3 linked regions of the Lepisosteus oculatus genome follow. The protein of the gene in region 1 interacts with the protein of each later gene in a pairwise test. Links are inferred from orthologs where the notes say so. Each region holds a gene or a part of one and is shown in the gene's direction. Other genes may lie near its edges.

Region 1 (5,339 bases):
AACACTAATGCCTCCCAGTTCTTCATCACGTATGCCAAACAGCCTCACCTTGATATGAAGTATACAGTATTTGGAAAGTAAGTTTAAGAATTTGGAATGTAAATTTTGTTCTTCTCTTACATGACCTCGGTTACAGGGATTAGCTCCACTCATTGTTCGGGGGGTGTTAGTGCTGAATTCTCAAAACTACAAGCAGTCGATGCAAAATGTTCGTCAGAAGAATTGTCCTGTGTGTTTAAAGAGGATCAGCCTCTGACACCACCTCGGTATGATGAATCTAGGAAATAACCAGTCACACAATAAGACTATGTGAAGTAATTGCACACTGTTAGAACACTCCAAAATTAGTTTATTGAATTAAGAAAAGTAGTGTGATTAAAACATAAAGGAACCATGCATACTGCTCATATATATCTAGATTATGTTTGTAGATACCACTAAAAATGTCCTCTTGTATGTCTTGTTTCCATTATATCATTATGTTAATTAATGTAAAAGAATAGTTCCAAAATGTAACCTTCTGCAGATAAACCACTGACATTCATATTCATTTAATAGGAGAGTATAGTATTGGGAAAGGGGAGTATAAGTTATGTGATGATCCTGTTGCCATATTTGTCTTCTGTGGACATCTTTAATGTCTGAGCTGTGTGACCTTGGAAGTTAAACTGGTAACCTTAAGAAAACACTAGGTCCCTAATTGTATTTCATTCTTTTTTTCTTCAGGGTAATAGATGGCTTGGAGACGCTGGATGAATTGGAAAAGCTGCCAGTTAATGAGAAAACGTTTCGGCCGTTGAATGACGTTCGGATTAAGGATGTTACTATGCACGCTAACCCTTTTGCGGGCTAGTCTCCAGCTGCCAGCAGTGTGCCTCAGCCACCGTTACAAAACAACATTATTAAAACTTCTGGATGCAGACAAATATCTGCAGGGTCTGTAATGTTTGCAGTTACGTTATTGTATTACTTGGAAAGAAATCTTCACAACAGGCCCTTGTTCCACTTCTTTATTTTTTCATATGTGATGTTTTGGTTTAATTTATATTACATTTAAAATAAACCTTTTTTTTTAAGTATCACAGTGTTGTAATGCAGTTATTAAAACAAGAACAGTTGTGTTTTTTATGCACAATGCTGATTAGATTATACACATACGTGACTATCCATTCCATCACAGATGTTAATGCATCCCTTTCACCTGTTTGGCAAAGTAATAAGAGTTATTGCCATTTTGGTTGTTGGACATGAATGTGGTATCTCATCTAGAGATGTTCTCATCTAGAGAACATCTAGAAAAAAAGGTAATCAACTTATAACCAATCAATTTAAAGAAAATAATTCACCAACTACACAGTACATCACATTGTGAATTAACTAAAAGGAAAAAAAATGTGTTATCCTAAATGATATCCTTTCTGATAAATAGACAAATCGGAGCCGTGCGGTCAGAAACGTGGGGGTAATCCATCACTTTTGTCTACTGGAAATTGACGTTTATCCGCATTTAAATGCGCTTTAATCTCTTACTACTGTTCACTGAACTGCAGATACTTATCGAGTGGTTTTCATTTCCACATAAGCTCTCCATTTTTTTTCGTTTAAATTTCCCGTCAAGTGCCTTTTTATAGTCGAGCAAAGAAATAAATTCTACTAATCGATGTTTTCCCATTGAGATACCAGAATCCCCAGATTCGTATACAAATACTTGTGAAATTACACATCGTGAAGAATTCAGCACTTCAATCTAAACAGAACATATAGTTTGTTTACTTGTGATTTGTTTTGAAATCACAAGTGAATTACAACGTTATATTTGTCTTTCAAAAATGTACACGCATACTTTGTTGCCGGACTGAAATATGCACCTTGCTATACCAAGCTGACACATCACTAAAGTTGTCTTTTCCATGGCAATGTCGCTTTGTGATGAGGTCATACAAATGCCGAGCAGGCAGTTTCGGAATCAGTGGTTGAGACTGTTGAAGTATATTGCTTATTGAGCTCTTAGCATTAAATCACTTTTTATTTTTTAATCGATTCATGAAACATGGCAACCGAAGACCCTTTTAAGGTAGGCAAATACCGGCAATACGACCCAATACCCTGCCAGCATCGCGCTCTTTCAGCTGCTGGTAATAAGCACGTTTTAACGTTACAAGAGTGTACAAGGGTAATGCACCGTACCTTTACGAAAGTGTGAAATTCGCTGCCATTATGCTAGCCTGTCAAAGTTTTACAAATTTGGTCAACCTTAGCCTACTCCAGACAATCTTTACATCTAACCCACCGTAAGTCACTATCGACAGTCTCAATCAGATTAGTTTTTTTTTTAGTTGCAAGCAAAACGTCATATCTAGAAAGCCAGATTTTGATATTCGGTACCTTTCTTTCCCTTGAACCAAACTCTTCCTTTATCGGACAAACGTCGCACCCGAGAGGTCAAATACTGGTTCCTGTTTGATCTGTCTGCTAATACATTTTCAGGTTTCCTCGCTCAAAGGAAAAGTGGCTCTAATTACTGGAGCCAGCTCAGGAATTGGGGCAGCAACCGGCATTCTGTTTGCCGAACTGGGAGCTTTGCTGGCGCTTAATGGGCGTGATGTGGAAAACCTGACCAAAATAGCCCAGCAGTGCACAAATGCAGGAGGAACAGAGGTAAAGAGCTGATTTGTATATTATATATTTCTGTTGTGGCCCGTCCGATCCTCAACAGTAAACACCATCAAGCAAATGAGGGCTGATCTTGCTCAATTGCTGCAGAAGTGTTCCTGTAAAAACACTACCTAAAATACCCAGACGTTTCTTAGAGAGATTATTTTGGAAGGAAGGGGCTAAATCTCATGTTTCAGGACTGCTGATTAAATTTAACCTGGCTCGAGTAAGACGGGCAAAGAATTAGGCCTCCCTCACAAAATAATTTCCTAATAAAAGTAACGGCCCAGGGCTTTTTCCAGAAGAAAACTCTACACCCTGGAAAAGACAATATTTACCTCTCTCTTACTTTATCTGTTGTCTGTAGCTCAAGAAGAATACTATTCCCAAAGAGTCCCTTTCCCTAACTTTATTATTATTAATATAATAATAATCATGATGGGTGAAAACCAAGGGTAAATTTGGCCAGGATGCCGGTGTAACACCCCTACTCTTGTCAAGAAACTCCCTGGAATTTTTAATGGCCACAAAGAGACAGCACCTTGGTTTTACGTCTCATCTGAAGGATGGCACGTTTTTACAGTGTAGTATCCCTGTCACTATACAAGGTGAGCGCCCCCTACTGGTCCCAATAATGACTCCTTCCAGCAGCATTCCCAGGAGTCTCCTATGCAAGTACTGACCAGGCTCACGTCTGCTTAGCTTCAGCAGGCTGCTAGTTGTGAGTTGCAGGGTGATATAGATGCTGGCTTAAATTTAATTTAAATGTTTAAAAAAAGGTTTGACTCTTCTTGCAATAATCAATACACCATACAACCTGATCTGTGCAATGGAGGCCTTTAAAATCCTGCCCAATAAAGCTAATACTTATGGACAAATCCACAGGTATCTGTACACTGTCTCATAATATAAAATCATCTGAGTACTACACGTTGATGTAACGCAGCACCAAGTTTCAAGCATTGTTTATAGAATTATTTTTCATTGTTAATCCTAAGACTAAGGAAAGAAAAAACAATGTTCATTATTCACCTCTGTTAGTATAGCCTAACAAGAGAACAGGTAAAGGTTTATTCCATGCTGAAAGGAATAGCAAGGAAGAGATGCAACGTTTCGGCGATGAAGGCTTCTTCAGACGTAGAGGCTCCACAGCCGAAACATTGCGTTTCCTTTTCAGCATCGAATAAACTTTTACTTGTTCCTTTGCAGCTTACGCATGCTGATGCAGCTACCTACTCGAACATAGTCTAACAAGAGCTCAGATTCCCTTGTGGGAATGAGGGTTAAAATAACCTGCACCTATAATATACAGTATAACAATATCTGAGAATATTTGGGACCATTTCAGAACATGTGGGCATATTTGGAAGGTTCGCCTGTAAATTTCGATTGTCTCTTTATGAAAGTGTTGGAATCTGTGTGAGACTTTACAGGGAGACTGAACCACTCACAGTCCCTGAATCTGTGTGGTCCTCTTTAGCCACTGTTAGTGCCTGGCGACTTGACGGATGAAGACACAGTGAGGAAGACTATCGAGAAGACCATTGCTCACTATGGGAGACTGGACGTGCTGGTTAACAGCGCTGGGATCCTGGCCATGGGCAGCATCGAGACTACAGACATGGCTCAGTACGACCGGGTCATGAACATCAATGTCAGGTAAAGAATGAAACCAGCTTTAGTTAATTAGTGTGATCTGATATTTGGCAAAATGTAGTGCATTTTTATGAAGCTTATCCTTTCAGCACCTTGATTATTAAAGGTGAACTGCAGTCCCAGTCTCTCAGACTGGTTATTAAATTTCGACAACACAATAAATTCATTGACGTTAAAGAAAAATGTTATACATTTTGACTTACAGTAAGCACAAAATTGTGAGCTTTGTGAAAGTACTGTAAGTCACCATGTTATCGCAAACCACAGGTTTCGCTACATGCGCGAGTTCTCACAAATGGCAATATGTGGCCCTTCCTGTTCACTAGTCACTGTAATGACTAATGTAATCTGATGTACAAGTGCATATGTACAGGTTGTGCAGCAGATATTTCACCGCAGAAATGTTCCAATTTGGTATACATGCAGAGTTAACAAGTAAACAGTATTTGTCAGCAAAATTGTCTCAAAGTCTAGAGCATTATTTCTGTTGGATTAAAAGAGGTGTATTCACAAGCCTGCCTGTTTACAATATTATAGGGCCGCATCACGTCTCCGAAAAATGTTGTTGTCTTGATCTGAATCACAGTATATGGTGTTGCACATATCTGGAAAGTTTCTCTATTTTGTGATGAAAATTGGATGTTTGACAAATTACTGTGGACAGTTTAAATTTTTTGTAGTTTGAAATGCACTCATTAGTGCCGATTCTTTCTAACCCCGAAAACTAAAAATAACTTTGTGGTTCCCCTTTACGTGAGTTTACAAAAGACTGCAGGCCATTCAGTCTGTGTCCATTTCCTTATTGATCCAACTTGCAGCCTCTACTATGTGTTATGTTATGGAGAATTTAAAAAGATTTAGTTAGAAGTCAAAATTAGGCAAACACCTGGCAGATCACATTTAATATAGACAAACCGAGTCTTATAGAAAAAGTCTTTAGATATATGTTGAGGGGACAAAGTGGGAAGGCAATACAAAAAGCAAACTGTTAAGAAACTGTTTGAAGTTTAAAAAAAAACAAAAATGTT
Region 2 (5,339 bases), on another chromosome or scaffold:
ATCTCTCACTTCCTGCCTGATGTGAAAGTCAGCCCTTTTCTTTATCTAATGCATTTTGAGGAAAGAAAAAAATTGTCCTCAACAGGCTTTTAATAATAATAATAATCATAATAATTGCATATATAGCGCTTTTCTGGACACTCCACTCAAAGCCCTTTACAGGTAATGGGGATCCCCTCCACTACCACCAATGTGCAGCATCCACCTGGATGATTTGACGGCAGCCATAGTGCGCCAGAACGCTCACCACACATCAGCTATCAGTGGGGAGGAGAGCAGAGTGATGAAGCCAGTCCATAAATGGGGATTATTAGGAGGCCATGATTGGTAAAGGCCAGTGGGAAATTTGGCCAGGATGCCAGGGTTACACCCCTACTCTTTTCGAGAAACGCCCTTGCATTTTTTAAATGACCACAGAGAGTCAGGACCTCGGTTTTATGTCTCATCCGAAAGACGGCACCTATTTACAGTATAGTGTCCCCGTCACTATACTGGGGCATTAGGACGCATGCATTAGCAGCCTTAGTTTTTCCCAGGAGATCTCCCATCCAGGTACTGACCAGGCTCACACCTGCTGAGCTTCTGTGGGTTGCCAGTTGTGAGTTGCAGAGTTGCATTTTAAGAAATGAAGAGCAGAGAGGATGAAAATGGAGTTTGAAAAGCAAACCATGTTATTTGAAATCTCCCATTTATTTCAGATTACCAGCTGAGGACCAACTCCTAGAAATATTCCCTGGGCAAAAGAGTCAAGGACCTGCGGTTTCATTGAACAAGCGACCAAAACGGTGCCTTTGTATTTATAAAGAGCAAATTTCTCAACTTTTTTTTTTAAATGCATAGATTTTGAATGATTTGATTGTGTAGACCCGGCCTTCCTCCCCTACTGTCTCCCCTTAGCCATCCACCCAGGGCTGCCTCAGCACGGCTGCCCTCCTGGTCAGCTTGTCTGCATGCAGTGCTTCGGTACAGCCAAGCCCTTACGAGTCCTGTGACCCTCCTGGTTATCAGATAAGTGATGTGGGAACTGGATGGAGCCCAGTTAAACACTGGACTGGAGAGGCATGATTGCAAGCTGAGCAGCCCTGCTGTCCAGATAGATATTTTTGTGATCATTTTAGGTCAGGGTTCTGGAAGGCTGCTGTGCTCATAACTGCCCATTTCCACTAATTATTGTCTTAATTGAACCATGTTAACGATTCCCAAATCATTAAGGCAGGGATTTCCACTGCTGGTCCTTGTCCTTGTCTGGTGGTTTTCATTCCAGCTGGACTCTTAACAGGCTAAACTGAACTTGTAATTTAATTAGACCACAATTCAATTTAATCTTTGCCGCTCCTTAAAGGTTGCAGCTTGCAAATTACTCAAGAAAGTTTTGCAATTCTTTAAATACGTCAAATGCTGGGGCACAAATAATTGAGCTAGAACCAAAATCTGGCAAACTGTGGTCATAAGGATCTGGAGTGAGGAGACCTGTATTAGAGTATCCAAGAGCAAGGGTGTGAGACTCCACTCCTTGAGGGCTTAGTATATCCTGGTTTTTGTTGTACCCAAGCTCTCAGTTTCATAGAGGTATCTGTTTTTAAATACACTATAAGCTTTGCAAATGGGTTGTAAGAACTGAACAGTATCCACTTCAGCCTGCCTGTAGTGCTATTGTAACATATACAGTATATTTTTACTTTCAAGAAATGTGAGGAAGAAAGGAAATGCTCCCTGTTTTGGCTTAAGCGTCCAATTAGGCTTTAGTTTGATTCCATTGATTAATTTAGGAAGGCAAGGGGTTGGAATCTGCTAAACTCTAGATCAGGAGTCACAAACTCAGTCCCTCGAGGGGCTCTGTGTCGTCAGTTTTTTTTTGTTTCAACCCTAGGAGCTAATTAATTAACCTGATTGTTTTCAAAATTAAACCTATAGAGGATTTTTTAAGATTAATTACACAAGACACATTAAAGGTGCAGTTACCTATAAACTGCCTTGTTAGATGCCATTTTGTAGGAAGTCACATACTGTTGCTTTGATGGTGTTGGTTGTAATTTTGCTTTGATTCTAATCGAGTGATTGTAAATAATACTGTGTGAGTCTTGAGCGTTGTTAAAATTACACAGAAGCCTGCATGATTACCAGATCATTTCTTTCCAGACTTTGTTTGTGTAAAGCTTAGTTTTTTTTGTGTAATTTTAACTAAAATTAAAATACCGTAATAACCAATGGAAAAAATAACGTACATGTATGTGGCATTCTTTCAGACTAAAACATTAAGAAATCCCCTACTGCACTACTTGTAGAACTAACGCTATTCCCGAATGTAAACGTTAATAATAAACAGATCATGTTTTATGCATAGGCAGACAGTCGAGAATATAACGATTATAATTTAAGTATTTAAAGGCTCATGTAGTCTGAGATATAATTTAGGGTGTGAAATGTCAGCAAATGCACAGGGCGTTATGAACCGCCTTTTTTTCTTTGCTTCGTAGGAGCTTGTAATTCAAGTTCTTAGCGGTTTAGTTCTTCTGCCGTATGAATGAATTTGCTTAACTACTCCGTTTAATTGAATAGCCCGCCTTCTCATATTCGTTTCCTATTGGTTCATTGTTCAATCGTTACGAGGTGATACGATGACCGTCAAACCCCGTCTCCGCCTTTTTTGCCTTATTTGGAACCACATTTTCCCGACAGTCGGCGATGATTGGCGGAACACGTTCTGAAAATCCAAAGCCGGTTTGTCTAAATTTAACCACTCGGGTCCCGCCGCACAAAAGGAGCAACTGGGCGAAAGCGGACGCGGTACTGGAACAAAATGCAGCTCTTTGTTGTTGTTGTTGTTGCTGTTCTTGAGACTGATTGTAAAACCTCTGCTGCTGATGAAAAGAAGGAAAACTGAAACTCGGCGAAGGGGAGGATACGATCTGTCAGGGTGGTTCATATTCCTCAGGTTCTGGAGTAGCCGTGGCGCAAGTGTACAGGTCACGTATGCGTGATGCTAATGTATGTAGGGCGGCACGGTATATATTTATAGACCGTGATTTGATTAAAACTGTGTAGGCTGATCCGAGCCGGAAGAACAGCCATATATTTCAAATCAAAGTGCGCTTAGTGAGAAGACGAGATACAGAATAACTTGCGTGAGCCAGGTTAAAAGGGGGTTAACAGCCGAGGGGACATTTAAAACGTAGTAATTCAATTCTAGAAACGCCCATATTTAAGCGGTCTCCCGGAAAGGACCAAGTTTTTTAGGTAAAGGAAACGGCATCATCCACTATGGTCCTGGGTGACCCAGACGCTGGGAAGATGCTCTCGGCCGCGGCGGCGAGGGGAGACCTTCTCGGGGTTCGGAGGATGTTGCAGAAAGGGGTACACCCCGACACCCCCAACGAATTTGGGAGAACCGCCCTGCAGGTGAGGAGGGTGTTTGACCGTGATGGTTCAGTTACATCTCATGAGAAATCTTGTGCAAGGGATGGGGGATGGGGGGTCAGTCAGGGGTCCTCAAAGAAAATGTGCCCCTTAGGAAAGGGGGGGAACCCCAGAAACAGATCAAAGAAAACGGCCATTCCAAGGGATCTGCTGTGACAGTGCGCGTGGCGGTGGATGGAAGCACCTTGATCTGTTGTGTGCAGCTGTTTGACTTCCTGTGATTGTCCCCGATGGGATATATGCTTTGCACGCAGGCGAAAAACATAAGACACTACACAATGCATTGAACGCAACATAATCCCATTAACAAATAAGACAGGCACACATAAATGAGACAGAAAAAATAACAATAAAGTAAAATATACAGTTGTCCAAATTAAGCATGTTAACAGCTGAGGAAATAAAAGCTAATTTAGTTCTATTGCAGTGGAATCTGGGGAGTCTAAATTGATGCCCAGATGGAAGGAGTTTAGACTCACTGTGCAAGGGGCAGTCATGACAGTCAGTGATTATTTCTGCACTGTGTGTTTGGGTACAGTAGATTTCTGACAGCTGTAGCTGTCGTCCTCCAGTAATGTTGCTGGCTACCTTCACACTCCTGCTCAGTGTGTTTTTATTGCGTGGATGCTTGTTGCACTGTGTAGAAAGCGTAGCGCACTTGGAACCTAGCGTTGGTTATTGCACTTAATTGTGTTTTAGAAAACAAAAGAGTACTGGAATTACTGTTTGAAGTGATGAGGTGATAAAACCGATGCGATCTGCAGTGTATGAATTCTGCTATCGTGTGAACCAGTATTTCACCTTAAGGGGTTGATGTTTTTGCTAACGCACATCTAGTCTAAGAAAAAGAAAAACAAGCTTGTCAGTTTTTCTCTTCCTTCTAAGGCTCACTAAGTAAACTTGTTCTGTCAATCATGTGATAATAAAAGTAAAATTCGGAAGGTAGAGCTAGCTAGTTGAGGATGAAAACCCTCCTAGTATATTATAAATAAGATGATCTGTAGACTAACTGATGGCATTTGAAGAACAGATTGTTACTGGTATTGTGAGCCAATATCCACAGGGCTCTCCTTTAATCCCAACCCAGATTACACAGGTCATTAGAAGATTTAATCACCCAATTAAAAGTTTTAGTCATGCTTTGGATTAAGTTGTATAGATGAAGATTTAATATTATTATAATAAGCCATTTGATATACGTTTCCACTGAAGTTCGGTATGTGATGATTTTAGAGCAAGGGTACAGTTAACTCTTATACAGGTGTAGTATAATGTACTGTTATAGTTAGATTAAATGTTGACCAACTCCTTCTGTAGCTAGTGTCGACACCTGCAGTTCCCTGAGCGTGGAACCAAGTGGGAGAAAAGTGTAAAAAAAATGGTTGTTTGCAGAGCTGTAGGTTGTCTGTGAGACATGTTGATCAAATAAATCGCAAGGTTTACTTTAGGTAATTAATTTCTGGGTAAATCATTAAGAGGCCAGGAAAGCAGGATGGAAAGAGAGGAGAGGACAGAAAGCAAGAAACGGGAGAGGAGGGGGAGACACCGGAGGCGAGAGGTGTTTGTTCACATCAAACTCAAAGCCCAGCTTCTCGTTCAGTATTTGAATTCTCTTAAGGAAACCTGCTGTTCTGTTGTTTTTGCGAAAATCCGATTTCCTGCATTAAGAATCCCCTGGTTAAAAATGACCTCTCCTGGTTATGAATGCATGTTTTAGAATAGGGAGGTTGGTTTCCATTTGCTTTGTAGCACTCAGTTTTACATATAAAGAGAGAGAATAGCTGCTAGGTGATATTTTGTTTGGCTTAGAAGAAAGGTTTCTCTCTCCTTTTGGCCTGTGTGGGGGTTTAACAGTCTGTTTAGGACTTGGTAACAGTCTGTGTTTTTCTGATTGGTCAGGACATGGGCTTCTGAGACACCTT
Region 3 (5,339 bases), on another chromosome or scaffold:
CTTCTTCCAGAGTGGGAAGTACTGTGGTATTATCCATGGGAAATAGAGCACTCCACCTGGTGGAACACACATTTCAACCCATACTGTACCTCAGATAGCTTTCCTGAAATTCTTTATTTGGGATGAGGAAATCCAAGAGTACAAATGGCTGCGGAAGCTGTGTTTCGTTCTTCAGTGTTTCTTTTCACTTTGGGTCTCCATTAGTACAGGCAAATGAAGGACACACAAACATCTTTGTGTGTTGGGTAAAACTGCTTCACAAAAATCAATAATATAATAACAGTAGTAACTAATTATTTGAATTGTTTGCTATTGTAATGCATATGGCTGCCATTGCAAGTTGTTAGAGCCAGCTTACCAGCATGGTGACATCACCGCCCTTCCCTGAGAATAACAGGGATCGCAGCTGTAGGGCTGACGGGAGATTTCCCTTTAGCTCAACTGGTTGGGTCCCTGTTGAGTGATCCCAGAGGCCTGGGTTTGAGTCCCCAGTGGTGGGGGGATGACCTGAGGTGGCAGCGGTGAGGGTGCATACCCACGTGAACCCAAGAGCGCTACAGTATGTTGTTCAATTGTACCATTGTCAATAGAGTATCTGATCAGAAGTCATGAAGGTAGGTTATTATCTTTAAAGGGGAAAGTACCCTTATCAATTTGTATTTGTTTTTCCTTGAATTTTGAAAAATAAATTTGGATTAGGCACCGTCTATCATTTTCTTTTCTTTATGGAACCCAGGTCGTTTTAAATAATGCTATAGTAACACACAATGACTAATGGAACTCTAATTTATGTAGATTATGAGAAATGCTGTGTCTCACTTCAAGGTACACTTTTCTTAAAAAAAGGTACACAAGGTACTTTTTTTAAAGCAGTGATAAGGACACTCATAAACCACACCATTGTCTTTGTTTTTAGTTCTGTGATTCAAGTAAATACAGAAGAACAGCAAAACATGCCACTGACTAATGACTTTGTATGAAGACTATAGAAACAGCTTCATTTTATTTTTATTAATGTAAACAAAATAATTTTTAAACAAATGACTATATGTTTGATTTATTGGATATTTTTGTTTGCAATCGAATTTAATTTTAAAACATCGTAGGACACATTAGTGTCAACGTTGCATGTCCTTACCATGATTTAGTGCCAATTAGGATAAACAAAATCATTAATAAAATAAGCACCGCAAACGAAAGCCCCGTCGAAACTACAATCTCCAGAAGACATTTCGTTTTAAAACGTAACTTCCGTTAACAGTTAAAACAGCATGGCGACGTCCACTGATGTTGGAGACTTGGATGTTGCAAAAATCAGTGTTCCAACTTACGAATATAAAGGTGTCAACACAAAAGTCTTTCATGTAGGTTCATTTGGGAAGCTGTGGCGAGAGAAATTGAACCCCGATTATTTCTCCCTTCAAGAAAACGCAGCTAATTCGGAAGAAGCAGAAGATGCTGCGTTTGCAGAGGAGGTCGGAATTAGTGCAGACGTCTTGGAGGAAGTCAAATTCGTGTGTAGGTATGATTTCACCGCACCTGTTTAAAAAAAATAATTCAGATGAACAAGTTGCACTGTATCCTGTGACATTCACGGTTATCTTGTCTCCCAACTCTTACTTGAACATTAAATCAACAGTCATATTACTGTAGCTGTATGATTCTTATATTGCAGTTTACTTGTATAGTGCAATGCAGAATAAATGCTCACATCCCTGTACAAACGTGTGAAAGTATCTAAAAAAATATACTTAGCAAATTTTAGAGCAAGAAAACGGAAATATACGATTCTCAGTACTTACGGTGGAAATTATGATGGCAAAACAAACGTTATTAAGTGAAGAGTCAGAGGATAAATAAAAATCAAAGTTTAAAATGGAAATTGTAAATTGAATTGCTGGATGAATTAACATTGGCGTCCTGTGTTTATTACTGGTTTGACAGCTTGGATACTTTGAGGTGTCATCCTGAAAACGAATCACCTGACACAGAAGTTGTTGGCCCAAATCCCAGTCTGCAGACATTGAGGTGAGGATATCTGTCAAAAATATTTAAATATTTTATTACTAATTTATTACTAATTCGTCATTTGATTTTTGTGATCCCTCTTTTGCGTTTGACAATGTTGAGGTCCTTTCTGTAGCCTTTCTGTGTGAGCCTGGTCAGTACCTGGATGGGAGACCTCCTGGGAAAAACTAAGGTTTCTGCTGGAAGAGGTGTCAGTGGGGCTGGCAGTGGGTGCTCACCCTGGGGTATGTGTGGGTCCTAATGCCGCAGTATAGTGACAGGGACTATAATCCCACAGGGTGTATCACAAAAAGAGTAGGGATGTTACCCCGGATTCCTGTAAAAATTTTCCCCTAGCCTTTACTGGTCATGGCCTCCTAATAACTTGAATTGGCTTCATCACTGTGTTCTCCCCTCTGATAGCTGATGTGTGGTGAATGTACTGGCACACTATAGTTGCCATCACATTATCCAGGTGGATGCTGCACATTGGTGGTGGTGGAAGGGAGACCCTATTACCTGTAAAGCACTTGGAGTGAAGTGTCCAGAAAGGTCTATATATGTGTAAGGAATTAATAATAATAATAATAATAATAATAATAATAATATTAATAATAATACTAATAATACTACTACTACTAATAATAAAATTAATATTAAATTTAGCCATTCCTCCAAACAGATTGCATGTTCTGCATTCATATTCTTTTTTCAACTCATACCTGAGCTGTGTTTATTTTGTACCACACAACATCCCTTTAAACTTGGCTTTATCCTATTCAGTTTTCACCTTAACAAAATTTTAAGATGAAGCTAATGGGGAAAAAAAAAACTTTTTGCTTAACACTTTGTCTGGTGTTAATACCCACAGGGTGTTTTGCCTTGTCAGTCCCTGAGTTTCCAGAGCACTAGTCCCAGAGCCCATTTACTTCACCCATCAGTTATTTTGAGCTCAAAGCAAAGTCTAATGGGGAAATTGTTCTAGGCATTCACACTGTGCACATGGACATCACATTCTAAGATTTCTGGTTAAAATATGTGTAACTTATTTTTCCCTTTTTTATTCTATTCTTATCTTCTTGTCTGAGCAGAGTTCAAAAAAGGAAGCAGGATTACCGGGAAACTCTGACAATAGATAAGACATGCAGAAGTAACATCTATGCAAGTGAAATGGTGAGTCTGGAGGAGGAGATGGAACATTTGTATTATCTCAGTCCTACGAAACGCTGGTTCCTATTCCAGTGTTGTGTAGCGCTTCTGTGATTGGTGGCTAGGTTGGGGAATTTCTTCAGTGTGTATATTAAGGAGTCATTTGTCTCTCTTATTTTTTCCAGTCACCAGGTGGTATCCATGAGGTAGCTTAGTTAATTACTGCAGTGCTTAATGACCTAAATCTCAGTTTTTTTTTCTGTACATTTTGCATCTTATGGCTGAAGAGTGTGAGTGTTTTTTTTTAGAAAGCATCTATTTGCCTTTCCACCTAATTTTACAGAGCGGGGTTTCTAAAGGCAACTAATTTATCAATTGATTCGTCTGTTTTGTGTTTCTGCCGATCTGTCTGACTGTTGTAATTTATGTATTGTATTTATCGGCAAATATTTTATATTTCCTTAAGCATATTAGTACACCTAAGTGCATTTGTATTTTTACATTGCTAATGCAAAGAAGATCAAGATGGTCAGTGTTGTACTTTGCTTGAGAAAGGATAGTTTAGTGTACTACATGATCAATTAATAGAAAGGTTTACCACACACAATCAGAAAACATGGCAGAAATGACAATGTGGAAAAGAATTGTAGAAATTGATTTTTTTTGTAGTCTTGTCCTTTATCTGCCAGAACAAGGCTCTGTTGGTCAGGTGTGAATGGATATGAGCTGTACTGCACTGTCTACGGTTGTTGTTTTTTATTTTTACATATGACATTGGTTTCTTTGTTTGCATGAATAATTAAGTCTTTATGAGAGAAAGAAAATACCCTGGGAATTACCCAGGGAAGGACAACATTGATTTATGTTTGGTGAAAACAATTTATTATTTATAAAAAAAGCATTTTTTGGTTTAATCCTCTCTTAAAAAGCATCTCAATGTTCTTTTCATTCTAAAAGAGATATATATATATATTGAAAAAAGATTCTGTTCAAATACAACAAGAATTTAAACAGCACTCATTTCAGGTTTTACAAGCAACAACCTCATATATGCTACCCACCATTTACGAGAGATAAACAAGTAATCAAACATTAAGGAAAATATAATGTGTAGATTATAATATTTTTGGTAGTTGTTTATTGATGTGATGGGTCCCTATCATAGATCAGTTTGTATGGATACATATATAGTAATAAGGCAAAATTTAGTTAGGCAGTGACCTCATACATGACTGTACATTCTCACCCATTGTCTGTAAACCTAAAGAAGACAGACATGCCAGAATTAGGTGAATGTCAGAATATTGTTTGAGGACCCTTGGCCTGAGTTTTACTGTGCTGTCATCTCATATTGCTGCTCAAGTGTCACAGCTGGGGCTGAAGTAGATGGAGGTCCCTGACCAGACTCTACAAACTGCTAATTAGCAGTAGATCTTTTTAATGTTAGCAACATAATGTTTATGACAAGAAAACATGCTCTGCTAAAGTTCTGTGCTTGACGGAGGTTAGTCTGTTTTGTAAAAATATACATTGATTACAGGTCCTCAAATCCCCTTTTTTAGTCTCTGTTCGTCATCATAGAGTAGATCCTTAGATGTTCTTGTAAAGTGGAAAAAATATTTTAGACCTTTCATTATCTTTTTTATTGCATTTCATTTAATTTTTAATTTTAAGTTTCATTTAAATACTTACAAAAGTGCTTGAACTATAGTTTGATAGAGTGATTGAAACGTAGAGCCCCCTTCACAGTATCTTGTGAATGATTCTTCACAGTATCATATGAATGATTGCATCAAAGCAATTGTTTTGGAAACATCAAACCTAGCTGGAAATTCACCGTGCTTTTTATTCATAAAATAGATAACTGTGCTAGCTTTTCACTGATCATCAAAATGGCTTTGGTATACCTTTAAGCCAGTTTGAAGTCCTATTTCTGAAAGACAATTTAAAAATTAAAAATATAATTTATGAGCTCTGGGATAAATAAGAAAGGAACAGGATTTGCCATGTACTATGCTAGCCTGTGTACTAGTAAGTTTGACCCCTCCTGATTTTTTGTATTATCTTTTTTGTCTCTGTCCATAATCAGAAATAGGAATGACAAGAACTGCTCTAATGTTCCTTTTCTACATGATATTCTGTTGTCAGCTGTCCCAGATCCAGTGGAATTTCAACCTCTAAAT

The links.
Region 2: the proteins of 3-oxoacyl-[acyl-carrier-protein] reductase FabG (region 1) and cdkn2d interact in binary tests that used the Homo sapiens proteins (3 or more experiments, as listed by UniProt). The two-hybrid records come from large-scale screens. The link is inferred for Lepisosteus oculatus from reciprocal best matches to the Homo sapiens genes HSD17B14 and CDKN2D.
Region 3: the proteins of 3-oxoacyl-[acyl-carrier-protein] reductase FabG (region 1) and snapc3 interact in binary tests that used the Homo sapiens proteins (3 or more experiments, as listed by UniProt). The two-hybrid records come from large-scale screens. The link is inferred for Lepisosteus oculatus from reciprocal best matches to the Homo sapiens genes HSD17B14 and SNAPC3.

Annotation. Positions count from the first base shown.
Region 1 is NC_090719.1:4,646,908-4,652,246, forward strand, and holds the start of 3-oxoacyl-[acyl-carrier-protein] reductase FabG, read left to right. Parts: upstream 1-1,911; 5' UTR 1,912-2,050; coding exon 2,051-2,074; intron 2,075-2,487; coding exon 2,488-2,658; intron 2,659-4,135; coding exon 4,136-4,314; intron 4,315-5,339. Other genes in the region: ppil3 (peptidyl-prolyl cis-trans isomerase-like 3), read left to right, coding at 1-77, 727-853. UniProt on the Homo sapiens protein: Catalyzes the NAD(+)-dependent oxidation of L-fucose, yielding L-fucono-1,5-lactone, which rapidly converts spontaneously to L-fucone-1,4-lactone. Can also act on D-arabinose and L-galactose, with lower catalytic efficiency. Does not use NADPH.
Region 2 is NC_090706.1:16,474,161-16,479,499, reverse strand, and holds the start of cdkn2d (cyclin-dependent kinase 4 inhibitor D), read left to right. Parts: upstream 1-2,307; 5' UTR 2,308-3,261; coding exon 3,262-3,399; intron 3,400-5,339. UniProt on the Homo sapiens protein: Interacts strongly with CDK4 and CDK6 and inhibits them.
Region 3 is NC_090696.1:57,956,948-57,962,286, forward strand, and holds the start of snapc3 (snRNA-activating protein complex subunit 3), read left to right. Parts: upstream 1-1,247; 5' UTR 1,248-1,271; coding exon 1,272-1,522; intron 1,523-1,944; coding exon 1,945-2,028; intron 2,029-3,098; coding exon 3,099-3,180; intron 3,181-5,339.